Linked DNA regions of Rhinolophus ferrumequinum. The protein of the gene in region 2 interacts with the protein of the main gene of each other region in a biochemical or structural test. Links are inferred from orthologs where the notes say so. Each region holds a gene or a part of one and is shown on either strand. Other genes may lie near its edges.

Region 1 (7,174 bases), on a different chromosome or scaffold from region 2:
CAGATACTCACTTCATTGTCCCAATTTTCCTAAGATTTCATTATTTTCCTTGCAATAAGCAAGATCAGAAAGAATAGTTCATTTGCCTTGCAAAATGGGCCCAAACACTGGAAATATCCAACACTCTTGCCCCTGACAACACTGGCACAAAAAACAAAGGTATATACATTCTTGCAGTTACCTGATTAAACTATCAGGTCCCTGCATAGGAAGTTGTACAAAGACAAACAGTGACAATACTGTCTACAAACAGAAATGCATACTGAGAACAAGAGGATTTTCATAGTTCTATTAAAATAAAGATCTCTATGAGACTATCAAAATTACTGGAAGTTTCTAGTGGTGATAACTGACTTCTTCTCTGTGTATCTCCATGATAACACAATGAAGAAAAGCTGAATTAGACTGTGAGACTTCTTAGGAGTACCACATACCTGGTAAATAGCTGTGAGGTGATAAACAGAAACTTAATATCTTTTCCTGTTAACTGAACCAACCAAACTTCAAATGACTGTTTTAATCCAAGTTCAATACAAAATTTGTGGCTCTACTCTCCTAAACTCAAGTTTATCAACTTATGTGAGTAAGACATGAACATGATTGGGAAAATTGAAGCAGTGACCCAGTGAATAAATCCATTCATTCATTTTGAATAAATGCACATACAATCCAGAAATTAAACTGCTTCTGGGTGAAATATATTAGCTAGGTATAATTATTTTTCTTAATTAGTCCCTTGAGGTTTGTTCTAACTCCAGTGGTTCAGAAAAATGCTAACACTAGGAACTTTAGGTCTGCAAGATCAAGAGGATCAGAAATTTTAGCAAACGGTAAGCTGAACATTAAGCAACACTGTTAGGTAAATACTAAAAAAGGTGAAGTGATACTACTGAACTTTAAAAATATTTAGTGACTAGAACATGCAAATAATATCAGAGTCTGCTCTGCTCTAGTTAAGAGATCCTGGAAATACTGCTGGATACCACAGCAAAAGGACTCTCTCAAAGTACATTAAATTCCTAGGAGTCAAACCTCAAACCACATCACAAGAGAGCTAATGTAATAACTAGGCATATTTAGGCTATAGAAGGAAGAGACAAAACAGAAGAACAGCTAGATGCCATTAAATATATTTGCAGGGCAATCAGAAAATGTATTCCCATTGTCTTAATGGACCCTAGGAAAACAAGCACCAATTGATGAAAACCACAGAAAAACAGATTTTGGTTTAACAATAATTTGCCATATTAGCCTGTAAAGTCAATAAAAATTAAGTGAGAGGAGAAATTTACATAAAATAGGGAAAAAAATGAATCTAAGAGACGGGAATAAGAGCTTTTGACAAAAGTTTAGGAGCTCGTATGGAGCATGACACTAAACCATGCAGATTAGCAATGAATTATATTCTTATAAATAAAGTCAGTTTCCAATGTTTTATAACAAGAAAGAAGGCATGGATGATTCTGAAAGCCATATTTTATGGAGAATAATCTTTGATATGAGAAAAGATGATGGACTGTTCCAGGTACGGGTGATGGGAACAGAAAGGAGTGGAAGGTTTACAGAAACATTTCAGAGATAGAGCTCATGGTACTTGATGACTTATTGGAGACTCTTGGAATAACAGTATTTAGTGGGATTTACTGTGTTTATCTAACCATTCATCTATTAAAAATAATAACAAAAGTAGCAATTACGTAGTGCTTACCAAGTGTCAGGCAATGTTCTGCATGTTTTACACAGATTAACTCATTTTGTTCTCCTAACTCTATGATGCGCATTGTACTATCGTGCACATTTTACAGACCAAAAACTAAGAATTACATCAGTAAAACTGGTCAAAGAATAAATGTCAAAGAACTAGTAGGAGATTAGGTACCAGATTTGGACCTACATAATCTCAAAGCTAAAGCTCTGAATCCATACCCTAGAGAGCTGTAAAGGAAAGGCAACAAAATTCTAGGCAGGCAGCATGTAGTAATGTTAAGATGTTAACATGTAGTAATGTTGAGTGAGTGAAGAGTAATCAGGGGTAAGAGGACTGTAGGGGTAAGTGAGGATTTGGCCGTATCAGAATCAGGTAACCACTATCCATGTCAAGAAACAGAAAACTGTTGGCAGGCCAGAGCATATGCGCTTGTTTAAAAAAAGAAAAAGAAAAAAAAACCCAAACCATAAAACACCTGCATTGAGTCCAAATTCCTAGAGATGGGATCTAGGAATTAAGTTGCTGGGGTTTTTTGTTTTGTTGTGCTTTTTTAAGCAAACCCAAAAACCCTGGCTAATTTTGAGGCAAAACCAGGTTTGGGAACTGCTCTAATAGATCACTGAGGCCTCTTCGTGCTTTAATATTCTAGTTGACATTTTCCCACAAACAAGAGGGGAGCGAGGGATACAAGCACCAAGAAAACGGCTGAGTATTTACAGTCCACACCATTTATGCTCCCATTTTTACTAAACAGTCTCTCATAGGAACAGGTATAAAGCAGGCAATGGAAGGAGGGGTGTGGTGTTCACGGTATGCTGGCTAAAAAGCAGGCTTTCCCCCAGGATTTTCTGGTACCATTTAGCAAAAAGGAAACCCGTCATGACCATAAATACATGTGGTATCCGACTCAAAAATGAGGTGGATTCCTCAGATCCATGTCTGGCTAATGATGGATACCAATATATTCTTCTACGTGCTCAAAAGCGTTGCAGGAAACCTCTAGCTTGGGGCCTGCCTGCTCCGAAGCCAAAAGAATCTGGCTCAGCAAAAGAGGTGTTTGCTCTGCAATTACACCTCAAGTACCTACTACCAAAGATGACCTGTTCCGCACATACCTGAGGGTCCTCTGGTAAGATTAATCTCTTCCTCAGTGACCAAATAATCCACTCTTCCGTTCATGTTTTACTGCCTGTCTGGCTTCCCACCTGGGTCAACTAGGGCTCGCACAGGTGAAGGTGAATCAATCTCGGCGCGGCGCCCAAAACACACCACTTTCGATTTTAGCTGCCCTCGGACCGGAAGAGGAAGCCGACAGCGCTGGGAGCGTCAGGAATGCTGGGAGTCGTGGTTCTGGCGCGGAACGCGTTGCGTTACCTCACCCAGTCCTCAAAGCGAACTGAGAAGTGAGCGAGGAGCAAGATACCCTCTTAATTTGCTTTGGGGGTGGGGGGAGGAAGGATAGTAAAAGTAAGAGACATAAATAAATTGATATTGTCGAGGAAAAATTAAAAATAAACTCTCCTGCCATCTCAGAAAATCTCCACAAATGAAGAAAAGAAAAAAAGAAGAAAAAAATCTCTATTACTCAGTAAGCATTAAACCAGCCTGGTTTGGGTGTCTCAGGAAATCCGCTAATGGGATTACAAAGACAGAACTCTCACCCTTTTATGTAGCCAAGCTGAACAATCTGTTACGTGCATATTCTCATGTAAGAAGTTAACAACACCATTCGCTATATACATTCTTTGGTAAGTCGCCCTTGGGGTTACAATCTGTTACTTGACATTATCCAAAGAAAAAAAATAAAACTATCTCTACGACAAGCAGGTACATAAAGCTTGGAGCATGGCACCTAGGGTAACTCCTATAGTAAAGTTAGGTGGGACAATATCTTCCCTGATAGTTACATTTCAAAGAGTTGGCTCCCAGGACTTTGAGAAAAACTTTCCTGAGTTGTCCCTGACTAGAGGCTTGTTTAGCTTTAAAAAAATATTTATAGACATATCAATGGGACAGTGGAAGGATTTATAATTACAGATTTGCTCAAGCAAATCATTTAAAGGAAAAGGAGGAGAGGTCTCTTCATTTTGGTAACAGGGAAAAGTCAACCTTTTTTTTTTTTTTTAAGACTAGTGGATGAACTAGCTGTGACTTCAACCCAGCTTCCTGACTTTTGAGGTAGAATTCCAAAACAGGGCTTTAAGGAACTGTCAAGGGTCAAAAATTTACAAGCTTGAAGGGCCAGGAAGGTGATCTAAATGTGGGAAGAAACCTGGACAGACCACAGGAAGTAGTGGGGACCTTGGAGGACCAAAAAGTGCAGTTCCAATTAATGCAATTCAAATTCAGATTAAATAATCAAAACAGAAGCTACTGTGTTTAGCAACAAAACAAGAAAGAGGCAGATTCCTCAGGAAGGCCTCTTATTTGCTAATCCTGAGAGAAGTTAATATGGAATAGTGGAAAGAACACAGGAGGTAATGTCAGAAGACCTGATCTCAAGTTTTGGTTCCATCTTCTTCCAGTTGTCAGGCTTTGAGCAGGGAACATAATATCTCCTGTGTTCCCCCATCTGAAAAAAGGGAATAATACAGATTTTTAAAAGGTTGTTGAAAGGATTAAATGAGATGGAATTTTAAAAATTACATCTCAACTTCCAACTCATATTCCTACTACTGTCACACCCAACCGTCCTCAACATATGTTGGTTGAATGAGTGAATAACAGGATCATAATGAAAAGCAGAGTATGATAAGTGACAAAACTAAGGTATAACTAAGGGACATTGGAATACCAAGAGAGAAGAGATCAAATAGAAATAAGAAAAGAAAATCAAGAAAGTCATCAATGAAGAAATTTGGAGGAAAAAAGTTTTTTATAGACTACTAAGGGGGAAATCACTACTCTGTACCTGGGAAGAGAGTGCCCTTTTCATCTGGGCACACAGCTTCAGCAGAAACACAAAGGACAGTAAAAAGAAAAGAGATACCAAATAAGTTCAGGAAATGCTGGCTGTAAGTGGAGTGACAGATTAGGTGTGTAAATTGCCTTTATATCTTAATGTAAGTATAGTTTTTTTAAGAATGAGGAAACTTTAATATTTAGAGAAGCAGAAAACAGGACATAGGGATTTCCACTCAGAGAAAACAATTGAGAAAAATTATGGAATCAGGATAATGATGGGAGTAGTGAAGGAATAGCAAATAGAGTTCATGAGCGAAAAAGCAGAATGGGATGGTAGGTGATGACACTGAAAAAATAGGCTAGAAACAGACTGTGGAGGAAAACAGATTGTGGAGGAAGTGTATGCAGAAATATACACTTAATTTTATATGCAATATGCTAAGATGGAAGTTTGTTTCTCTCATATTAAAGAACTCTGGAAATAGATGGTTCAGGCCTGATATTGAGGCTGCTCGGTCATCGTGGTCCAAGTTCCTTCCTTTCTGTCTCCACCCAGTCCCATCCCTGGAGTGTGGCCTTTGCTTCATGGTCCAAGATGGTTAAGATGGGTTTGGGAACTTCAACCATCATTTTCACATTCCAAGAAAGTAATGAAGAAAGGGCAAAGAAAGGTCCACTCCATACTTTAATGGAGACCTCTTGGAAGTTTCATGCACTTCTTATATCTCATTAACCAGAAGCCTGGTCTTATGGTTAAATGTAACTATAAGGGAGGCCTAGGATGTATTTTAGTGGAATGGAAATGTGCCAACTAAAAAAAAAAAATTAAAATCAGGGTTGCTATTATAAATTAAAAGATGAGAACGGATATTGGGAGGCCATTGGTAGTCTCTGACACACAAAGCGACACTTTCTGTCTGAACTAGCCTTTCTATTTAAGGCTTTATGACCTTGAGATATGTAAAAATTATGAAACTTGGTGACTTCAGCCTATTTACAAGATTAGTGGAAACTTTGCCTCATACCTTGAGGTACTTTACCCATAACTTGCTCTATTTTTGCACATTTCATATCATGTATTCACTTTGTCTTTCCAATCTCCTGTCTGCTTCTACCCCCTCCTACTTCAATATTTTATTCTATCAGCCTCTTGATGACTAACTCATGGATGTGTTTGTATTTAGGACTTAACCACCTCTCCTTTGATAGGCATTAGTTCCAATTTGCTGCCCTATAACTGACCTCTTTGTTTTCAAACTCTTGCATATTTTTTTAAATGAGGTGATTAAACCCCTTTGTGATTGACACATTTTTTGTATTATTACATTTAATCAGATTGTATTCGTTTGTTAGAGCTACCATAACAAATACCACACACTTAGTGACGTAACAATAAAAATTTATTTTCCCACAGTTCTGGAGACTAGAAGTCCAAGATCAAGGTATTAGCAGTATTGGTTTCTTCTCAGGCTTCCCTTCTTGGCATGTAGATGTCTGTCTTTTTCCTCTGTGTTTACACGATCTTCTGTGTGTGTACAGATCTGTGTCCAGATTTCCTATTCTTATAAAGATACCAGTTGTATTGATTTAGGGCTCATCCTAATGACCTCATTTTAACTTATTTACTTCTTTAAAGACCTTATCGCCAGCAGGCCAGAAAGGATTGGCACAAAATATTCAAAGTGATGAAAAGCAAGGACCTTCAACCAAGATTATTCTACCAGCGAGGCTATCATTTAAAATTGAAGGACAGATAAAGAGCTTTCCAGACAAGAAAAAGCTAAAGGAGTTCACTGAACCAGTATTACAAGGACTATTAGAGGAACTTCTTTAAGATGGAAAAAAAAATCAAAACTAGTAATAATAAAATGGCAACAACTACATATCTATCAACAATTACTTTCAATGTAAATGGATTAAATGCTCTAATAAAAAAACATAGGGTGGCTGAATGGATAAGAAAACAAAACCCCTTGTATGCTGCCTACAAGAGACTTCAGATAGAAAGTCACACACAGACTTAAAGTAAAGGGATAGAAAAAATTATTTAATGAAAATGGGAAAAAAAAAATAGCTGGGTTAGCAATACTTACACCAGACAAAACAGACTTTAAAACAAAGACTATAATGAGACAAAGAAGGACCCATAATTCCACTTCTGAATATTTTTCCGAAGAAACCCAAAACGCTACTTCAAAGGGACCTGTGCATCCATATTTTCATTGCAGCATTGTTTACAATGGCCAAGATGTGGAGGCAGCCTGGGTGTCTGTGAATGGAAGAATAGTAAAGAGGAGGTGGTACATATATACAATGGAATATCGCTAGACCATGGAAGGGAATGGGTTCTTGCCATCTGCGGCAGCATGGATGGACATGGAGGGTACTGTGCTGAGTGGAGTGTCAGACAGAGAAAGACAGATGCAATGTGATTTTGTTTATATATGGAATCTAAAGACCAAAATAAACAAACAAACAAAACAGAAACAAATTCATAGATACAGAGAACATTTTGATGGTTGCCAGATGAGAGGAGGGTTGAAGGGGGGGGGGGGGCTTTGA
Region 2 (8,011 bases):
CCTAGAACAAGAGTAGGAAATTATACATTTGGCCATACCCTACAAGAATAGTCTGCATAATCAGTCCTCAGAAAGTGAAAAATCAAAGTCCACAAGTACTAAAGAAAACAGTAAATATCCATCCTATACCTGAAATAAAATTGCTCTTTACTACTATTCTCCATTTGATAAAAAAAATAAATAAAATAAAATACCCAGAAACAAAAAACTGAAACCTTGAATTTTTTTCAATTCTCATAAAAATAGCCATCCTCATGCTCCTAAACATGCCAGGTTACAAATTACATAGAAAAATCAATTAGGAAAGAAACATAATAATCCTTTTATAGACAGCATTTGACTTATAACAAAAGACCTTTAAAAAAAATCAGACATTTTAAGTACTAAAAATCTTCGTGTATAAATATGGATTAAAGTCTTTACGATTATTTCAATTATTTTCAATAAAATTATATTTTAGTTCAACTAGGAATGTTTATTTAAAAAACTATGTAACAATATTTAATACTAGTCTAATGTAGGGAGAGCATCTATATGTTCTATATGAACGAATTATTTCAAAATTAACCTCCTGGTTCAGTAAAAATAATCCTATAAAAAAATAATGCTCAATTATTTTTACTCCCAAACCAAGCAAAGGGAGCTGTAAGGTCTGTAGCGACAGCCTGCTTTTCCAGAATACCTCCAGACTGCTCAAGAATAACCTCCTGCACCAATTAGTGTTACTCAGGTGAGCCTGAGAGAGAATAATGTCCACAACTCCTTGGTCAGTGGCCATGATGCCCCTCCTACTCAAGGGCAGGAGATCAGAAAGAGGCATTTGAACAAGAGAAGTTCACCAACCAGAACATATAGGGGCAGAGGAGAAAGAGTAGTACAGGAAAAATACAAACCTCATGGTTAAACCATGTTTCAAAAGCAAGAGATTTAATATTATCAAGGTATTCATTCATTTCAGAGACACCACTGTTTATCTTCCTCCCCTAACGGAGCACAAAAAGAACTGTCAGCCTGCTTTAAGCATGTTCCTTCTTCCATTTAAACAGACATGATTCTTTTGGTTAATCTCTGGCAATGATCGCCATTTCACAACACATTCAGCCCACCCGGAACTGATCAATACCACTACAGACATGAGACTAGACTTTATCCATTTATTAACCACAAGGAAATGTACCATTCAGCAAAATTCTATACATTACAAAAGATTCTATTAAAAAGGGGGGTGGGGAGGACAGACCAATACGGACACACACACACACACACACCCCACAGAGGTACACAAAGAAAAGACTACCACCCTCTAATTTCCCTGTGGCAAATGAGATAAAGATATGGCCATGAAACCTGTCAATTCCTCCTCCCACCCCCCATAATTCTCTCTCACAACCTAGTTACTGAATATTGAATTTTATGTTAAATAGATCCACTGCGACTTTAACATTATTTCATCTACCAACCTAACTCTTCTGTTATGTACATTTTGCACACCTTTCAGCTACATGCTGTATTCTTTTGTAGAATTTCAAATACAAAAGACTCGACAGTTTTCCAACCACTGGTTGCAACCATTGAACGTTCTCACAAAATCAAAATTTCAAATACCAAAAGGCCAGATTATTCTCCCAACCTTGGGGCAAAACCTATTTTATGACTTCAGTGCATCTGACAGTATGAACAATTTCAAATGGGCTGTTCCAAATGGAAAACAATGCTTCAATACAACGCGTTTAAAATAAGTATTCCGTAGGTAAGCAAAATCTCTGCCAGAAAAGAGCACATAAATGGTGGTTGGAAGCCAGCATATTACCAACACGCAGCGGCATACCTCTTCTGCACTGGGTTATAGTTAATACTTCAACAACAACTACAACTATTTTTAACACTGCTGGACACTGAAGTTGAAGAAAACGTGAGGGAAGACCCAGATGAAACCGCCGATATGATGCATTGTTTCTCACGGTTAAAATTAAGTAACAACTGACTTGATCTCTGCCCTGATAGTCACTGGTGAAGCACTAATTAAAAGACGATTTAAGAAACCCTTATTTTGGAGGATGCCACACTAAATGACATGTTGGAATACACCTTTCGGGTCTCAAACCTTTGCATAAATTGTCACTTGTGGTATTTGCGGCTGAATTGCAACCCAACCAGCGCTGTCATCCAGTGTTATGGCCACAAAACCATGACTTTCTCACTTCCACAACAACAGTCACTCTTATCAGTTACTAACCTAACGCAAACCGAGGAAAATTCATGGAGGTTTCTAGATCGCAATCAGACCTTGGGGGTGGCAACCTAGGGGCTCGGGGTGGGGGGAAAAACTCCCCAGCCTCCACTGGAGCTCGCCGACCCAACAACAACCGCGGCCGCCAGCAGCGGCAGCAGCGGCTGCAGCCCCGCCGCGACACGCTCCATGCACCTACCTGAAGAACAAGAGATAAGAAAGACGGCAAACGCCAACTTTGCAGCAGCTCCCATTTTCCCGAGGCGCCGGGGAAGCCGTAGGAAGTTCTCGCTAGATATCCAGTTCTCTAGGTCTTCCTCGGAGACAAACCTCCTGGTGTAAAATCAACCGTCATAAAACATATTCGGAAGCCCCGACCAAAAAGAAAAACGTTCACGGGGTTAAAAAAGAAAAAAAAAAAAAGCACAACAATAAAAAAAAATGCACCACGGGGGAAAAAAACCGCCACACACACGCACAACACACAAAACCAAACAACGAAAAGCCAACAACAACAAAAGCGGGTTTAAATCACTGTCAAAATCACTGTCAGCTCGGCTCGCCTCTCGGGTCTCTCGGAACAAAACGCCAGGCTTAGGCGACGAGGCGGCGGCGGCGGCGGCGTCCGCTGCCGCCCGGACAGTCCGGGAACCGAGCTGGGTCCGACGTCCGGACCGACCTTCAACCCGGACACCCAAAGTCCGCGGACCACTGGCGGCTGAGCTCGCGGCGGTGGCGGCCGCGGCGGCAGCGGAGCGGGGAAGGAGCGGCGGGCGGCGGCAGCGGCGGCGGTGCAGGCGGCGGCCAAGTTCTGGTCCAGGCTCTGGCTCCGGCTCCGGGCTCCGGGCTCGGCCGCGTTTTCGGTCCCTTGGCCTCCGCCGGCCCCGCCCCCTAAACTTCCGGTTCCGGCCCGAAGCTGGAAGCCAGGCACCGTGAAGGAACGCTCCGCGGCGGCGGCGGCGGCGGTAGCGGCTGAGAGGCGCGGCGCGCGTGCCGGGCCGGGAGCGCGAGGAGATTGTCGGGGAAGTGAGGCGGGAGCGGGGGAGGGGTGAGAGCGGGGGAGGGGTGAGAGCGAGGGCGGGGCCGGCTGGAGGGCGAGGAGGCGGGGCGGACGGAGGCTCGATACCGCGAGGCCTCGGCGTCCGGCCTGCTCGGCCTGCTGGGCTGTGCGGTTCCAGTGGGTGGACGAGTGGCTACGGTGGGGTTCCGGAGCGCCAAGTAGCGAACTCGCGCCCCACCGGCCTCTCGGAGCGCACGCCCGAATGGTCCGAGGGAGCCCAAGAAGACAAGGACCTCGAGGCGGGGCGGGTGGTGGTGACTCCTCCAGGGGGGCGTCTGCGGCGCCCTGTCTTTCCTCTGGGGGGACGCCTCGTCCGCTCCGAGACTCCGGGCGCCGGGAAGCCGCGGGTGGGAGCCGGTCCGCCGTGCCTGCCGAGCTGCCGGAGCGAGCTCGGTGCGCGCGAACGGGTGGGTGTCTGTGCCGCCCAGTCTTAGCGATGCATCCCACCCCGGTGGCTTAAGCGTTTTGTCTCTCGGCTGAAAAAGAAAAAAAAAAAAAACCTCGCGGAGGATGGGCTGTCCACCCGGTCGGGATATCCACGGCAATTATCACGATGTGCAATTTGAATCCATTCCCACCATCCCTTTTAGTACACAAAGCATTGTGTTGAGAGCTGTTCTGCACGTAATAGGTTCGCAAATATCTATTGCTCGCTGAAGAGGAAACCTGCAGATTTTGATCGACGTGTTTGATGGTCAGACAAGTGTTTACGTTTTCAAATTTTAGGTTTTTAGGGCCTATTTTCACACTTAGTCGAAGTTGATTGCTTACAAGGTGCTGTGCTAGGCATGGAGTTCGATCCGAAATGTAAAAATAGGATCCCTACCCTGAAGAAGCTCACAGTGTTTGCTGTGCTCGAAGTGTCTGCCGAATACAAACTAAAGTCAGTATTAAAGATACTAGCTTTGTCATTTACCACACTTTAGCGACCTGGGTGAAGGTAGGGAGGGATCTTATCTGGCTTCTTCCCCGTTTTATCTCAACACTTAGAGTGTCTAGCCTATGATGGGTGCTTAATAAATAATTGCATAAATGACTGGCGGGTAAGAGCCGTTTTCTTAATCCTATATTCTCACATGTACTCTCCGAATGTTTTATTAATAAAAATAATAAAGCAATTGTACTGTATGGCTAATTCATCGTTTGCTTGTAGCTTATGAATTCCCACATTTTTCCCACAAAGCCAAGCCTTTTCCCTTGTATTTACAGTGTTTTATTTTTCTCTTCTTCTGAATTACTCTGTATTTCTGTTAAGTTCATCCTGTAATTGTCTGCCCATTTCTACAACAGGGTTATTAGCAATCATTGTGGCACTTTAAACTCTCCAAGAGTTTAAAGTTTTCAAGTCATGGTGCTCAGAATTTGATTCATGTTGTGCAACAGTTAAGAAAAGTCCCAAGTTGATCTTCAAGGTATCTAAATGATCTCATATTATGTAGTTCTCTGGACTTTATGAGCTGTTCAGAGGAATAAATACAAACCTTCCATTAGCTTGTTGAATTAAGACTTGCTGCTAACGTTTCTGGAATGGAGAGTGTGTTTCATTTAGAACCACCTTCAGTTCAGGAATTTGATGTCGGTTATACCCTGGATCAGGCCCCACTATTGTCTTATCTCTGCATCACTTCAATATTTTTTGAATTGTGAAACCAGAGCAAGTGGAATAACTGGAATAACCAGTAATAGAACTAAAACTTGAAAATACATCCTTTATCTTACCACCCAAATTCCCCACTATAAGAATGTAAGAAAAGATGAAAATTATTTTTCTGTAGTATGAAAGAGGAGCAATAAGTCAAAGTCTTCACTAGAATATTCTTCTCTAATAAAGAGTTAATATAGCACCATGGGAAAAGTTAGATTCCATTACCGGTAGTTATCTACTTTGTTCCTAAATCTGTGTTTACCCCACCTTCTGCATTTTTTAAAATAATTTAACCTATTAAGACATAAGAGTACGTGACTAATTCCCACTGGAATTCCAAAGCTTAAAAAGGAGACAGAGGTAAACTGCTGCTGACCCTATTGCCCCTCTTTCCTTCCTATTTTCTAGAATCACTGTTTTTTTGTCCTACAAATCCAATACCTCTCTAACACAGTGCAAGCTGTACAAACTGGATTAGGAAGAAAGGTGAGGAAAAGGAAACACGAAAGGAATTCTGGTCTCCCATAGCATTAGACATTATGTGTTAAACAACTTTAGCTAACAACTCAATCCCCAAACCTGAGACCTGGCTTTGTAGCCAGTCCAATGATAGAATTTCAAGTTCAAAGTCCCCCCCAAAAAGTTCAATTGAACTTCAAATTATTCCCAGCTAGAAGAACCTTGAGAAGCCTGTTCAACCTAGAGATTCAAGTGTGTGATGGCTGGATGAGGGGACAGGTAAATTAGGGTCACAGACTGCTTCCAGAATGAAGGATGGTTTCTTTTTACCCTAGAAACTGATATATCAGGCTCAAAAAAGTATGGACTAAGCTTAAACCTTGAATTCTAAAGAGAAGCTGGAATTGAACTTGCTTTTGATATTGGGTAGTATGGCATATAGTGGAAGGAAATTCATCTTAAGGTATTCACCTGCTTTCGGACGTAACAACAGCTACATATAAGCAACACAAACTGAATCTTTCTTCATCTTCCCACAAGGTGGGAAGAAAAATTCCTATATCCTAGCTTTTGCTGTTATACCTCTCTTTCTACTTAGGTCTATCCATAGCATTGTGCTGTACCAATGAGGTAAAAAAGAAATACTGAGAATATGGATGTGAGAATAAGTGAGGGACAAAACATTAAGGCAGCATAGTCTAGGACAGAAAAGTGAGAATAGTTGAAGAGAAACTAGTTACAGTGGAAATAATGTATCCAACACTGATGAAAAGGCTACACTAAGCTAGTAATATAATCTTCAGTGAGATTAGTGCAGACATTGATAAATGCTTTAAAAAATTTTGTAGAAACTTGACAGAATAATTTTGTGTCTGCTGAAGCTAGTAATAAGAAAAATTGGGCTGGTATTTTTGTTTTTATTTTTTGTAATTCAATTTTATTGTATTTTACAAAAGTCTCGTAGATTGGAAATTCACCACAGATAATTTGAAAGGCACTGGAGCAGAGGACAGGCAATATACGCAAGACTCTCAAAAATAGTGCCCTCCATCCATTTTAACAAATGATTAAAATGTTGAATAAAGCTTTGATGCTATAGTTCTAAAATTCTATAATGCAAGACTGCATAAGAATTAGTCATTTTTACTACATTGTCCATCTTTATCTGTGGTATCCACTTATTCGACAAGTAACTATTAGCTATAGGATTTGTGCTAGCGATTGTATAGCGAAGTGCAATGAATATAGTCTCTGCCCTCACTGAGCTTACAGTATCAAGAGGAAGACAAAAACAGCAAGTAAAAAGTAATTTTCAAGTGGGAAGGATTATTTATAAAATCAGACAGGATGCTGAGATAAAGAATAAGAATGATGGGTTAGATAGAAAGAGGGGACCTATTTAGAGACAATGTAAGTTCAGGAAGAACTTACAAAGGAAGTGGCACTTAAACCGAAACCTACAAAATGAGACAGCCGTGAAAGGAGCTAGTTAAGAAGGAATAGTATGTACAAAGCCTATGATATGTTCAAGAAATTGAAAGGAGGCTCTCATGGCAACGAGGAGAGTGATATAAATAAAGAGAGCAGTACAGGCCCACACTATGCAAGATCTTGTAGGCCAAAGTAAGGTCCTTAGATTTTATTCAAAGTAAAGCATTAAGCCATTGGAGAATTTTAAGTAAAAGAGTTGTGTGGTCTCATTTATGCTTTAGAAGATTACTCTGGCTTTTATCTGGAGAACAGGTTGCAAGAAATTACCAAAGAAATTAGAGAGACTAGTTAGGGTGTTGCAGTAAGTCAGGCAAGAGATTATTGGTACTGTGAACTAGTGTGGAAAGAAGTGGACAGATTCAAGATCTATTTTGTAAGTAGAATCAACAGGACTTACTGATGAATTGGATGACTCCTACTTTTTTTTCTTGAGCAAATGAGTGGACATGGTGTCATTTGTTGAGATGGGGTAGATTGAGGGGGAGAGAGACATTATAGGGAAGGGAATGCAGACACGAATAGTGAAATTTTTCAATCTTGAAAATGTTAAATTTGAGTTGCCAATGAGACATCCAAATGGAGATATAAAGTAATTAGTTGGATGCAGGTGACTGAAGTGTAGAGGAGCATGCAATTTCTACACATAGAAATTTGGGAATTGTCAGCACACAAATAAATGGTATTAAAGTTCATGGAAATGAATGAGAGCCTCTAAATGGAGAGTAAACGCGAAAAGAAATTTAGCAAGCAGAGGATTAACAGTGAGGAACGGGGATGAAACAGTAGCACGGAGAGAGATGAGATAAAAAACCAAGAGAAAGATATGTCATCCATGACAGTGTTTTACAAAGGGTGATAGAAGTGGTACTGACTCCTGTAGAGACATGAGTAAATTGAGGGACAATAAATAAATAAATAAATAAATAAATAAATAAATAAATAAATAAATAAATACTCACTCGATACGACATCGTGGAGAGAATTAAATGTCCTTGACAGTAGTTACAGCAGAAGCCAAACTGAAATGTTTGAAGGGTCAGTGGTAAATAAGAATTTAGAGGCAGCAGAAATAACTCTTTAAAGACATCTGGCTATAAAAAAATCAAATCGGGCAATGGCTAGAGGC
Region 3 (7,350 bases), on a different chromosome or scaffold from region 2:
TCTCTCCAGTTCCTGGAGGAGGAGTCGCTCTCCTGGCTGCAAGCCAGGAAAAGGGTGCGGATTTACCAATGGGGAATCCCTGGCTCCCCCACCACACAGGCAGTGTGTTCAAGCCAGGTTCCTAAAGGTTCGTAACAGAGGCAAGACGGGAAACGGCTTCCGCACCCTGGCCAGGCTGCCCTTCCAGGGATGCCTGCTGTCTGCCCACGGTGGGGCGCTTCGCGGGATGACTCCCCGCCCCCGTCCCCGCCCCCACTCCCTTGTCCCACACCTCACCTTCGTGATGGAAGCTGCGCACGGTGTTGGCGAGGCTGGCTGCCCTCTCCAGCCGGTGGTCCGGAGCCGGCGCGCCGGGCTGGCCCGAGTGCCGGCGGTACAAGTCCAGCATGTAGGGGGGGACCACGGCGTCCCTGCTGGGGGTGGGTCTCTGCTTCAGGCCGAACATGCTGAGCAGCCGCAATTCGAACTCGCTCAGGACGTCGTCCGAGGGCTGGGACGAGGAGCGGCCAGTCGACGCTGCGAACTTCCTCCGGCCCAGCTCCGGAATGAGGCCGGCCGCGCCGCCCAGGAGGACCTGGGGAAGCAGCAACGCTAGAAGACAGCGGGTCCCGGCCACCATGGTCGACCTGCGGACAGGGCCGACGTGAGTCACCGAGTTCCCCGCCCAGCCCTCCCCCCTTCCGCCCGGCGGCCCGACTCCCGTTCTGTCCACCTGCCTCCTCCTCCGGGGTGCCTACCTGGCTTGCAACACTCAGGGATACTTCAGAGCGGCTGAAGCTCCAACGTTTGGGAGAATGGAAGGGCCCTAGTTTCTGAGCTAGAAGGCTTTCCCCCTCCCATCCCACTCTCAGGTCGTCTGACATGATTTGCACCACTCCCCCCCCACCAGCGTCAGCGACTGTCACCTTTTTTTTTCTTTTTTTTTTTTAAGTGATACTCGTGCTGACGGCCAGTTCAGGGAACCTGGGAAAACCACTGCTGGGTCCGACACCCTTTTGTCCCCTAAGCAAACCCAAACCCAAACTGCCCAGCGCTCACTTGCATATAAACACTCACGAATGGTGCATGTGACTTCCTTAGTAGCACTGTATAGAACTTCCTGATACACACACATAGACTATAACTTCCAGACCCAGAAAACTCAAGGCCACAACTTCCGAAGCCACTTGCAACTTGTGGCCCACGTCTCTAAACTCAGAGGTGTCAGGACAGGCCACACTCCAATCCCGGACCCTCGCCCCACCCCTCCAATGCGGTTCAGATACACATGTCTCTTCCTGGGATTACAAAAATGTTTATCTATTAATTCACATGTTAGTACAAGGTGGCACTGAAGTACTGCCCCCTCGAATTCCTGGAAACAAGCAGGGAGAACCCCAACGTTTAGTATTTTCCCAAATGGGACGTAGCTCTGAGTAGAGACAGCAGGGCTCCTGGAGAACTTTGAAGAAGGCAGAAGGGATCGCCATGGCAGGGCATACAGGTTGGCAGCTAACGGGTGAAATCCAGGGGCCACCCTCCCCAAGGGATTTCTTTGACTTTTTTCTTTAATCATCTAAGTGTTAACAGCCCTAATAAAATACCGAAGAGAGAGGTGGGAGGAGGGGCGGAAGAGTACGAGCCAGGAGGGCGATGCTGACGGTCGCCAGGGGCGGTAGGATGGGGGCATCCCAGCAGGGGCTCGGCTGCACGTGGACTTGGGGGGGGGTTCTGTTTACGTCCCGCCTGGCGAGGTCCCGTTGGAGCTCAGCCACAGCGGCTGCTAGGGCCCCGCGTCCCCCCACCCCCCACCCCCAGAGCCAGCCCCGGGCCCACGTCCTCTACCTTTAGGAGACCGCAGACCGTCTAAGAAGCACGCGGGGACACGTCCATTGAAAGAGCCTCCACATGGAAAAAGCTCTGGCCGAAGGATCTGGAGCAGGGACCGAGTTCCCTTCTTTTCCTCCTTCTCCTCCCGGGTGTCGTCCGGGTAGTCCTTCTCCTCACGCAGGGAACCGCGTCTCGGGAATGGGCCCAGCGGACGAGTGGAGGGCCGGTAGGGTTCGGAGGCTGGGTCCGCTGGGGCAAAGGCACCGGCACCAAGCAGGGGAGCGCAAGTTATTCTCCCTGCAAGTTCAAGAAGTCTCCAGCCAAGTGCTGACACACAACAACAGCGAGCAGGGGGAGGAGTGCGGGGCAGAGAAGGGAAGGGAGAAAGGAAAAGCTGGTACTGTCGTTGTCCTTAGGAACCAGAGCCCCCGGGACGCTTGGCCCCGCGCGGGAGCGGCTCCTGGATTCGGGGGGCGAGGGTCGGGCGCTCCGCGCTAGCTCCGCCGCGGCCCATGGCTCGGGGCAGCCATCCTGGGCGACGCCGGGTCCGGGGAAGGGCGCAGCGGCGATCTCGGTGCCGGGCGAGGTGCCCCCCGGCATCACTCTGCCTTACTCCAGCGCACCCCCATTAGCGCCAGCCAGTTGCAACCCCCGCTGTTCCGGCGCTCCGTCGTCCTCCGGCGCATTCTCCGGCGAGTCGAGCCGAGTCCCAGGTCGCCGAGGCGGGTGGCCCCGCTCTCTCCTTGCTCTCCTAGTCCCCGGGCCAAGCTGCTGGAACCTTTGTGGCCAGCCTGGGGTCCGATCACACCTCGTCCGGCTCGTCCCAGGCCCCCGAGCTCCGGCGGGAGGTACCCGGCATCCCCACGTTCAGTCTCGACTCCCGGCTCCCCCGCGCTCTGCGCGCGGGTCCTCAGTTCTGGCGCGGCCCGGGGAGCCGAGGCCACGGCTCAGTGGCGCGCACGGCCGGGCGCTCCAGCCCGAGCGGAGTAGGAAGCGCGCGGGTGCCTCGGAGACCCCAGTAATCCCGGAGGCGCTCGCCCCGAGGTCGTTCGGGTCAGCGGCGGAGCCTGCGGCGGCTGATGTCCGGCGGCGGCTGCCAAGCCCAGGCTGGGTGTGGGAAGCGGAGCGGCGGGCGCAGCGCGAGCCGGGCGCAGCGCAGCGCGGCGGGGCAAGGACTCCGGCGGCGGCGGCGGCGCCGTGGCGCGGCGCTCGCGGCTTTTAAAGGGGACGCCGCCTGCCGTCTCCCTCCCGGCCGAGGCCGAACACCTCCCCCTCGGTGGCGCGGCTCGCCGGGGATCCCCGAGCGGGCGGGAGCGGCGCGCAGGGGTGTGGACGGCGCGCCGGGGCAGCCGCGGCGGGGTGGGGCCGAGGGCCGGGACGCGCGGCCGCCGAGGGGGGCGCTCGCGCCTCCAGCCTCTGACCTCAAAGGGGCTAGCTGCTGAGGCGCCAGACCCTCGCTGGCGCTCCGGGGTGAAATCCGGGACAAATACGGGGTTGAGCCCTCATTTCCCTACCCGGCCCGTTATTCAACTTTCAGTTTGAAGTTTTTCGGTAATAGACGATTAAATAAAAAAGAAAAACTCAACGAAGTTACAAAGCATCTTGGCATAAGCTTGGGGTAGTCACTTGGTGTTTCCCTGAGTGCGAGGAGAATGAAAAGAAAACTAGGATTTGGAAACTGGGTGTTATTTAAACTTTTACATATATACATACATATATATATATATATGCATTTACATTTGTATAACTTATGTGTATACATTTATATAAATGTGCACGTATTTTTTTCAGACAAATATATGTAACATACAAAAATATGCGTGTATGTCTCTAAATATATCCATATATGTAAATATATGCTAACGAAAGTACACATTTTCATAAATATGTCTGTATATGTGACATGGATGTCATCCTCCTATACATGACATGTGCAACTTGGACTGTGTGTGTGTATCAGTTTGAAGAGAGGATGAGAGGTATTTTATTTCTTTTTATGGTAGCAATCACTTCATGCCTTGTGATATTTATCTCACCCAGCTCAGAGGCAGGCGATTAGCAGCTCAGAGGACGGTAAAATAATTCACAGTGTGAGCCAAGCCTATAAGACAATTCTGGTTTGAGACCTTGGAATCTTTGTCCCACCCCCCTCCACCAGGCCCCCCGCAGGTTTATGACATCTGGCCAAGTCACTTGTCTTCCTCAGCTGAAATATTTCCCAAATCTTCTGCACCAGGAGCTCCCAGGCTTTCTGTCCCTCTCAGGATTCCAGGATCTTCCATGCAAAGCACAACTAAGTTGCCTGAATGATCCCAGAAGCCAAGGGCAGAAAATTTTTGGAATAGGCCAGATAGCAAAATCAAATTTGCCTGCACACAGAAACCTCAAGCCTGTAAAACAGAAAGGGAAAAGTCTGAAGCGGGAGCTCATAACAATCTATTATCCATGTGCATTATTTTTTCAGTTGGGAAGCTAAAATAATTCTAGGTTCTGCTCATGTAAATCGGATTAGCAACCCACAGAGGTGAATTAGGCACTCACTGTTTCTGAGAGTATAAAGGTCACATAAGGTATTTTGGAGGAAGCTTACCTACTAGGAAAATAAATGAGGGGCTGGGGTGGGCAAAATATTCAAGAACATGCTTTCCCCCCCTGAAAATAAAGTGCCATGGAAGTTGAGTGTCACTCTGAATCATTGGACATCAAACAAGTTGGCAATAGAACACATTCTACTCATAGATGCAAGTCGAAAAGTGTTGATTGTGCTTCCGAAACTACTTCCATTCCTATCAAGTTTAATTGAGAAGTTAACAATTGTTTCTGTCACATGCGAGATTTAAAAAACGAAATAAACTTTGTGAGACCTAAATCAGTATGTAGCTTGTAAAGAGGAGAAAGTGGATTGGTCTTGAATGCTCTTTAAGTAAAGATGAAAATTAAATCTCTGGTGCTGACATCAGGATGTCTTGCAGCTTTAGGCCTTCATAACTTGCGAAAGGGGCACCTTGTCAGTTTACGAAATAATCTTCGATAGTCATGAATCTGAGGGAAAACTGGCCATTTGTGGACACTCTATTCCATTTCAGTGCTGCCCATCACAGGATTTCTTTTATGTGTAAGTATGCAATTTCTGAGGGACTGCTGAATGCCTTTCACAAGCACAACTTCCTAAATTGTGGCCCCATTTTCTCTGAAGATCCAGGCTCTCTGGTTGTTTTTAAGAGATGGCTGCCCTCTTGTGGTGGAAATGAGTTCGAACGCTTGGGAGAAAAGTCAATACATTAATAAGTAAGTAAATAAACAATTTCCAAAGACCGATGTGGGATACAAAGTACAGGATAACCATACCTATCCATTTCCAGGCAATAAGGAATATTAAAAATCGATAAATCTAAATGGAGATGACCTATCTGTTTTTATTCTCTTTGCTACTAGCCACCTTACACCTGCAGCTCAGAATGCAGGGTTATTACTTTGACGTGATAGGATCTGTTTGCCTTGAAAATATCACCTGCTGCTAGCCTGGTCAACTCTACCTCTTTCAAAGGTTCAGGAAAAGTTTTTCAGCCCAAAAGGTGAGATACATTCTCGCTCGGTGTATCAAATATGGTGTATGTGCAAGATGTAGAGGGTGGCAAGAGTGGGGGTGGGTTGTTTGAGGGAGGGGTGATCTCAGCTACCTCAGAGACAGCAGGCAAGTTATGTACAAAATAGCAAAGCCTACCAGGTAAGGATGCTATCTGAAGAAGGTTGTTGCTATTCCCTTCCAGTCATTTCTTGCCAGTGTTTGAAGAGATCCCAGAAATCCTCCTTTGATTATGTGTGGACACGACCTGAGATGAAACTTAAAGAGTCAAACATTAACAACTTTTCCTTTAGCAGTTCAGCCCAGATAACGTTGAATGTTAATGCATCCTGCAGCTATTAGCATTCAGGATTGTTCTTGCTAGGCCAACCATTATGCAAATTAACCTTAAAATAATGATCCTCACTATTGTAAAGGTCATAGCAGGCGTTAAATGATCCATCCACCTGGTAATTGTCATGCCACTGAAACCTGTGGCAACTCCTCTGAGAAACCTCTCGGCTTTTTAACATACGTATTGCTTTGTAACGCCTGTGACACCCAACACCAATTCTACTTACTTCAACTGGATGAGGTTCTTTCACAAAAACCCAGAGGCACAGCAAAAAAGCAGCATTTAGTCAATCAAACTTTTACCTATTTGATGTATGTTTAGATATGGTCAGAAGAAAGGGGTGGGGTGGAGTGATTTATTTGCAAAACTAGGCCTAATACGCCAAGTCAGGTTTACTGCTTTCAGGCAAATACTGACTTCATCTTAAAAATTAAGAAAAAAAAATCAATTTTGTGAATAGACTAGGTTGTATTTTAGGACGCACACAGTAGGCGTTCTATAAATATGTTGATCATAACCCAAGACATAGTCGGCTAACTTAGATTCTGATTCTGGTTCGGCAGTGGATGTTAAATTTAAAATGGTCATCTCTCGGCTCATCTGTTGATCGGGGTACATAAATGTCTGTTCTTCTGGCTGCCTCAGTTGGCATGATGAAGGTCAAATGCATAATATGTGTGGACTTGGAGAATTTAATGCCCTACATACACAAGATTCTAACTGCTACTTTATGTATCTTTAAATGTATTTTTCAGCTTCCTGCCTGAAATATTATAACCTGATTTTGAGAGACAGGACTTTGTCTTTTTTCTTTCTTTCTTTTTTTTTTCCTAATGGCTTTTATCATATTGCTAAATAGTGGGGATTTTGTTGGAAAGGTCATTGCTTGAGTCAATCTAAGGCTCAAGCAGTTCTCATAGTCTCAGCTCCTTCGTGAGTAATATATAGAGATTAATAGCTAATCTCACACAGCTGTTGTGAAAAATAAAATGCGAAGATGAATGCTAAATAAATACATGCATCTGAAAAATAATTTTGGTCTTCCAATAGGTTGTGTTAGATATCCGTTAAGTATTATTTCAGTACCAAATATCAATGTATTTGTCTAACTTGTCAATGACATTAAACTGTTTTGATATTGTGATAATTGGATTGTAAAGAGTCAATGATAGTATTTCTCTTTACATATCCAGACTCCAGATATTTATGGAGCAGCTATTAGCCCATGGCACTATTCTCTTCGGTTCCAGGAAATAGTAATACAAACATACATAATCTCTGCCCATGATGCAGAGTTTAAAATTCAGCAGAAGAGATGGAACATGTTCGTAGGGAAATAAATATAATATGTATGTATAAAAACTTTAAGATAAGTGGGGAAAAAAGTGCTGCAGGTTTAATGGAGAACAATTTCTCTTCTGAAATGTGAACTCACAAAATTCATAGAAGAGAGGGCATTTGAGAGAAATATTCACAGTGAGTATAATTTCTGTAGGATCAGTAAGGAGTCTTTATGAACGTCAGCATTAGCAACAGTGGGTTTTTATCAGCACTTGTTATTTCACCTAGTTCTCACTAGAACCTTGCTCAGTGGGTATTACTATATCCATTTTACAGATGA
Region 4 (6,929 bases), on a different chromosome or scaffold from region 2:
CACTTAAGCTTTTAATGTAGCAGAGTATTTTGAAAGGTAGGTTTAGGATCTTCCAAAGAGAAGCAGAGGCAGGAGACGCCGTGCATTGCAGTGAGCAGGCCCGCATGTTGATTGAGCATCGACTGTGGGCCCAGAGTTGCACTGAGAGCTTTGCATCTAAATTTCACTTGACTCTTCACACTGACCCTGGGACCATCTAATGACTATTCCGCTCTTACAGATGTGGAAACTGGCTTTAGGTTGGTTAGCAGCCAAAGTGCACACATTCTGTAAAGATCCTCACTTATAAAAAAAAGAACCAAATGAAACAAAACAGCAACATTCACTGTCAAGTTCTGAGTGCTGATCCTGAGTGTATGATTTTAAAGGGGAGATCCTGGGGGGGAAGGTAAAATTCTAGCATTAAGACAATATTAAAAATCTGCATCTACATAGTGCAAAAATCATTCAGAATTGTAACTTCTGGGCAAAGTGAAAGTGGATGATTTTTTTAATGTTTGAGGAAAAAAAAATATATGAGCTTCAACTTCTTTCTCATGTCAGGCAAAAATGGGACTTGCCTGTTAGCCACACAACTGTCTCAGTTTCCTACTTCTTCTGACTGACTCATGGCCATTAGCACATCTCTATTATACCATGGCTTGGTCACAAAGAGGGAAGAAGAGTTGCATTTTGTGAGCACTTACTATGTGCCAACTGAAGGGAGACTCTATGCTGTCCTGAAAACCAGCAGGTTTTTGTGTCTCAGACTAAAGCGTCAATCCTGACTCTGCCCTTTCCTAGGCGTATGACTTTGGAAAAGTCCTGAGTCTCTCTGTGCCTCAGTTTTCTCATCTGCAGAATGGGGTTCATCCTTCCTGCCTCCCAGGGTTGGTTTGAGGCTTCGACAAGACAGTGCATGGAACTTACCCAACATTGTCCCTGGCTCATAGAAGATGCTCAATCAACATTCCTGTGTCCTCCCCCGACCTTCCTCCCCCAAAGCATGTGGCCTTTCACACAGTTCTCTGTGGTGCCCTCACAGCTACTCCAGCTCCTGCAGAACGTGCCGAGCTGCTGTGACATGAGTAATGAAGGGGTCTGTGAGTAGTGCATTAGTGACCTAATGTGCTCTTCCTGTGGCATGCCTTGATAATGGCTGTGGGATGGCAGTCAGACATCTAGAAAGCAAGTGTCCCCCAGCCCCCGAGCCACACTCGGACCATCTGTGAAGTCTGTAAAGGGAAGCATAATTGGTCTCCACAGGAGTGCTGGCCATAGGCAGAGCTGGGATCAGATCAGAGCACTTGTTTCTGGGACATGGACAATGCTGGAGGGTGGGGACATGACTCTAAATGCTGGACTCCCCGATGGGATTTGGTGGTTAGGTCCAGCCAAAGTAGCCCAGCCTTCCTCTGAAGCAGAGCTTACAGACATGCCCCATGGGCCTGGGGAGATGCTGGTAGATGGCATTAAAAAAATAATAAAGCTTGTGTTTTAAAAATCAGGCAAGTTCACATAAAATCTAGATTTCTTCTTTTTCTTTTGGGCAATCAGAAAATCTGGCACAGCTGGGCATACAATGTGACCACAACAGTGTCTTTGAGACGGGTGTACACTCTGCAGGCCGGGCAGGCCTGGCTGCCGGCTGGCGCTCCGAGCAAAGCCTGTCAGGATTTACAGCACTTCAGCCCAGGAGCAGGGAGGCCATGTGCGGCTGCTTCTTTAGCGGGAGATGGCAGCAGCAGGAAACGCCTGAGCTGTGCAGACGGACGGGCCTGGGTCAGAATCCAGCTACTTAACTACTATGTGACCTGGGAGTGTTCCTACAGCCTCTGCAAGCCTGGCTTCCCTGCTCACAAACTCATTTTACCTACATTGTGTGATTAGTGAACAGAAGCCCTAAGTCAATGTTTGTTTTCTTCTAGTCCTCCTAAATCAGGGAAATTATTTTATATTTAGAAAATAATTGAGTAGTCCTCCAACATTTAGCTCTCAGAGGAATGTATCTGAATTTTAGACATCTTTTGATCAGCGAGAAATAGACATTCTTTCAATGTTTAAAGATATACCAGCTGGTTGGAGGCTAAATGAGTTGTCTGTTTCTAAGTGGGAAAGGACCAGTGAGAGAAGGGGAAAGAAAGCAAGGGGTGGAAGAAAGGGAGCTGGCATTCCCGAAGCTCCCCCTGAGTTAAATTGGCACTGGGTCCAGGGAAGGAGACTCTCCTAGAGCAGAGCTATCCAGTAGAACTTCCTGCGATGACGGAAATGTTCCATGATCTGCCCTACAGGATAGACATCAGCCACATGTGACTGTTGGACGCTTGAATCGAAGCTAGTGAAACTAAGGAACTAAGTTATTAATTTTATTTCATTTTAATTCCCTGAAAAGGAAACTTAAAGAGTCGCGTGTGGCCCGGGGCCGCCACACTGGGCGGCACAGCTGTGGACCACTGAGTGGCCCTGACCCCACCCGCAGGAGCCCAGGTGGAGCCCACTCTACCTTCCATGCTGAAGCTGCGAACGATGTTGGACGCCGGGGTGGACGACTTGTCAGTGGTGTATCTGTTGTACAGGTCGATCATGTACTGCGGTGGCTCTGCTCGGGTTTTGTCCTGGGAGGGGACGCCGCTCAGGTTGAGGCTGCGCAGGAAATCCACCTTCATGTTCTCCAGGAACATCCTCAGGTCGAAGGTGCCCGCTCCGTGCTCACCTCCGGGCCCCCCTAGCAGGCGATGGGCATCTCCCGCTGTCAGCGTCCGGCCCCGGCTCTCCAGAGGCTTCCCCTGCCCAGAGCAGGTCAGCAGGGAGAGCACAGGCAGAGCTACCCACAGCGCCCCGTGGCACATCTTGGGACGGCGAGCTTGCCCTGGACAGGAGACTGCCGGTGGCCACCTGGGCTTAGCGGGTGTGGGGAGCAGCGCAGGAGGAGCCGGCCCGCATCGTCCTGCCGAGCGCGCTGCACCAAGCACCCTGGCCAGTTCCCAGGCTCTCACCCGCCGTCCCAGTGTCCTCCACTTGTTCTTATCTGGCCCTCAATGCGAAGCTCCAACCTCTTATCTAAGGGAGCTCTCCGTTAATGAAGGCTCTATAAACATCTGACAAACACGCAGGGCTTGTGGGAAGGACAGGGCCTGCTGCAAAGAATCCGAATTTCTCCATGGGGTTATCGCCCCTTAATTAGGATCCTTTCTCATTTCCTTGTCAGCTCTGTTCAAAAGAACCTCAAGACGGGGTGACATATGCTCCATCTCCTGGACCACAGAAACAAAGAATCCAGGAAACAATCATGACCAAAAAGTCCTCCAAATATAGAAACAACACAAAACCCCCAGAGGATCCTGCAGACCCGGGCTGGAGTGGGTGGTGGGGTGGGGGCCGCAGCAGGGTGTGTGAGAGGCCTTCTGGCTGTGGGCTCAGGACCTGCAGGTGTGGCTCCCGTGCTCTGTACCTGCGTCTCTCATCTGCCAAGCGAGTTCCCGGCCATTAGAGATCACACGTGAATGTGGTACATGATTCAGTGAGGTGGCACAGACAAGGTGAGGCTTCAAATTCCAGCTCCCTCACTATTCCCTGCAGTGGGCTCTGGAGCAAGTAAGTCACTTCTGGTGCAGAAGAGAGTTGTGAGGATTTAGATAATTGCGTGCTTGGTGTCATGGCAGTCCCTGCAAGCCCTGGTCAATTGCGTGGCTGCGTTCTGGCTGCCACTTCTCCATGCCAGGTCTGACTGAGCTGGGAGCTGAGGAGGAAGCCCTATGCATCCCAGTTTGCTCACTACGGACTCCACAGGGACCCCAAAAGAGCTATGTCACTGGTCTTCAAGGGAGTCTTTGCTCATGTCAGAGGGGTGGATGCCTAGGCCACCTTCCTCCATCAGGGGATCCATGCAATCTGGGGAGACAAAGCAGCGGGAGAGGAGCTCTGAAGCCAGTACATGCCCTGGCCTGAGAACAGAACACAGTAGGGTCCTGCGAGGCCCCAGAACTTGTGTCATTTTAAAAGCATCATGCCCACACTCAGCCTCTGTCCTTTTCCATCATGTGTGATTTTGAACAAGGCAAAGAATGAACACAGTTAAAAATACCTGGGGGTCTCCTCTGAAGAGGATTGGAACATGAAGCTTTTCCACATTGGCGGTGCTCCTGGGGAGGGTGGCAGTGAGCTGAGCAGGCTCAGGAGATGTAGGAGGAGCCATGGCAGGCTGAGGTCAGAGATCCCAGTGTACGCCCAGCTTTTCTCCCACTACTAGTGGAGGCAGGGTGACACAAGGAGGCCCCGAGTAGCCAGGCCGAGACAGAACTTGCTGTCCCCATCTTTGGGGACACTGCCAAGGGAGAATGGATGGGAAGGGTATGGCTTCAGAAGTGCTGCTTGGAAAGGGGGCAGGAAGCATGCTGGGCATTGAGCCAGCTCAGTGCAAGAACTCTTGTGCTGATGAAGGGGTGCAAGGTCCGGGAAGTGGAGCTGCAGCTGTGCAGTGGGAGGGGTCTGGGCGGAGCTGGAGAGCAAAGCAGGATCCCCCACCAGCTCCAGGCCCTGGAGGCAGCCAGAAATCTGTCACACTCCAGACGGAGCCAAGGGATGCATGGGGGTGGCCTGAATGTGCTCAGGAAAGCTCAAGGGGCTGCTACCTGATGTTTCCTTAAAAACATGACAGATTTTCTTTTCTGATTATAATAGTAGTGTATGGTGCAGATAATTTGGGAAAAGCAAAACATTATAAAGAAGGAAATAAAAATAAACTATACTCTCTCTGTCTGGTGATGCCCACAGTTAATATTTTCAGATAGATGCAGTTTCCACAGTCCCCTATTTAACACCTTGTGGCCAGGAGTGTTTTGCGATTCAGAAAGCTTCAGAGTTTGGAAATTTGGTACGGCAAGTGTACTATAATATCTCCCGTGGGGCTGGGGATAATACCCTGTAAACAAAAACATTAATATTTCTGCAGTGAAACAAAGAAACAAGCCCACGTATCCATTCAGATCAAATTCTGCCATGAAAGAAGTTAAAAGGAACTTCAGGTTTTCTGATAGTTTCGGGTTTGGGAATCTCAGAAAAAGAACTGTGGGCCTGTCTACATGTGGGGTCGGGTCACCAATCCGGCCATGGAGGCTGCACACTAACAAGGCTTGGAGGCACTGGTCACACATCATAAGACTGATGTGGGTGGCACCCCCAGCGCTGTGCAATGCAACATGCCTGTGAATTTCTGGAATGATCGGCCCCACACATTCAGAGTATCAATATGTCTGCATCTCCTTTATTGTTTTTAAATACTTGCATGAGGCCTCAGATCCATATTATTGAAAAGTCTAGTTTGTTCCTCTCAGGGCATCTCTTTCCTGAATGGTCAAAGTGCACTGTAGGTTTATTTAGTCCAAAGGAGATGGAGGTGGGATGGCGTCAGTCCAGCTTCTTACTGCTGGAAGCGGGGAAGGAGGAAGGGATCCTAGCAGATTTCCCCTGCTGTTGCTTCTTAGTGACACTGGCTTTGCTGTTGGGGACGGGTCACACACATCTAACAGCTGTTTGTGCGCAGCTGCTGGGATGCTGTGTCTGGTCCAGGTTTCGCCCCGGTCTCCACGATGTCTCCCTTTGGGCACCAAGGTATCAGCTTTCTTAGGCACAATCTCAGGCTTACCTGTTCTCCAGAAGGCACGTCCTTGCGGCAGGTGGCTGGGTCGAGAGAAGAGGCCAGCTGTGGTCACATTCTGATCCCATGCTACCCTCTCTTACAAAACTCTGGGTTTTTATGGGGAGCCTGGGTCACAGCCCAGACTCCCATTTTACTCAAAGCGGTATGATTTCAGAGACCTTGTTACCTTTCTGTATAAATCGGCCTTGGTCTATCTGGACAGATCTCCTTAACTTTGGGTCTTAGGGAACAAGGTTCGGGTCTTGTTCTCTCTTTTACAGAAGATGTGGGGGTCCTCATACAAAAGGATGCTTCTGTTGCTACCAGCTTTTCATTGCTGGGACTTCACGGAAGGGCTACCTTAATTGAGCCACAAAATATCATCTTCACCTTCTTCTCCCCCTCTTCATCTCCCCTAAATTGTGTACCATATGACCCTGCAATTCCATTTATAGGTATTGAATACATCCCCAAAATAATTGAAAGCAGAGTCTCAAAGAGATATTTGTATGCCCATGTTCATAGCAGCATTATTTACAATAGCCAAGAGGGTAGAAGCAACCCTGGTGTTTATTGATGGATGACTGGATAAACAAAATGTGATATATATATCATTGCCCCGAAAATAAGACCTAGCCAGACAATCAGCTCTAATGCGTCTTTTGGAACAAAAATAAATGTAAAGCCCGGTCTTATATAAGACCCGGTCTTATATATTATATTATATTATATTATATTATATTATATTATATTATATTATATTATATTATATTATATTATATTATATTATTATTATTATTATTATATTATATTATATCTGGTCTTATATTATAGTAAAATAAGACTAGATATAGATATAGATAGATAGATAGATAGATAGATAGATAGATAGATATAGATATATTTCAGCCTTAAAAACGAAGGAAATTCTGGCACATGCCACAATATGGATGATTCTTGAAGACACGCTAAATGAAATAAGCCAGTCACAAAAGGATAAATATCGTATGATTCCACTTATATGAGGCACCTAGGGAAGTCAAATGCATAGAGACAGAAAGTAGAACGGTTGTTACCAGGGGTTGAGGGGAAGGGAGTTATTGATAAATGGGTACAGAGTTCTAGTTTTGTAACGTGAAAAGTTCTGGAGATGGATGGTGGTGATGGTCACATAGCATTGTGAAAGTACTAAAAGCCGCTGAACTGTGCACTTAAAATGGTGAATTCTGTTGTGTATTTTACTACAATTAAAAAATTTTAAATGTATCATATAGAGTTCTTTTTGTTGCAAGTTATAGCAAAGCAGAATCCA

The links.
Region 1: the proteins of ACVR2A (region 2) and SYNJ2BP form a complex in vitro, tested with the Homo sapiens proteins (2 studies listed by BioGRID and IntAct, with this or other methods). The link is inferred for Rhinolophus ferrumequinum from reciprocal best matches to the Homo sapiens genes ACVR2A and SYNJ2BP.
Region 3: the proteins of ACVR2A (region 2) and BMP2 form a complex in vitro, tested with the Homo sapiens proteins (3 studies listed by BioGRID and IntAct, with this or other methods). The link is inferred for Rhinolophus ferrumequinum from reciprocal best matches to the Homo sapiens genes ACVR2A and BMP2.
Region 4: the proteins of ACVR2A (region 2) and GDF2 form a complex in vitro, tested with the Homo sapiens proteins (2 studies listed by BioGRID). The link is inferred for Rhinolophus ferrumequinum from reciprocal best matches to the Homo sapiens genes ACVR2A and GDF2.

What each region holds. Positions count from the first base shown.
Region 1 is NC_046289.1:26,979,302-26,986,475, reverse strand, and holds the start of SYNJ2BP (synaptojanin-2-binding protein), read right to left. Parts: upstream 3,010-7,174; 5' UTR 2,888-3,009; coding exon 2,824-2,887; intron 1-2,823. UniProt on the Homo sapiens protein: Regulates endocytosis of activin type 2 receptor kinases through the Ral/RALBP1-dependent pathway and may be involved in suppression of activin-induced signal transduction.
Region 2 is NC_046291.1:71,832,124-71,840,134, forward strand, and holds the start of ACVR2A (activin receptor type-2A), read right to left. Parts: upstream 3,009-8,011; 5' UTR 2,485-3,008; coding exon 2,430-2,484; intron 1-2,429. UniProt on the Homo sapiens protein: On ligand binding, forms a receptor complex consisting of two type II and two type I transmembrane serine/threonine kinases.
Region 3 is NC_046306.1:27,878,191-27,885,540, reverse strand, and holds the start of BMP2 (bone morphogenetic protein 2), read right to left. Parts: upstream 3,017-7,350; 5' UTR 1,825-3,016; intron 627-1,824; 5' UTR 620-626; coding exon 277-619; intron 1-276. UniProt on the Homo sapiens protein: Growth factor of the TGF-beta superfamily that plays essential roles in many developmental processes, including cardiogenesis, neurogenesis, and osteogenesis. Induces cartilage and bone formation.
Region 4 is NC_046299.1:62,336,629-62,343,557, forward strand, and holds the start of GDF2 (growth/differentiation factor 2), read right to left. Parts: upstream 3,007-6,929; 5' UTR 2,829-3,006; coding exon 2,483-2,828; intron 1-2,482. UniProt on the Homo sapiens protein: Potent circulating inhibitor of angiogenesis. Signals through the type I activin receptor ACVRL1 but not other Alks. Signaling through SMAD1 in endothelial cells requires TGF-beta coreceptor endoglin/ENG.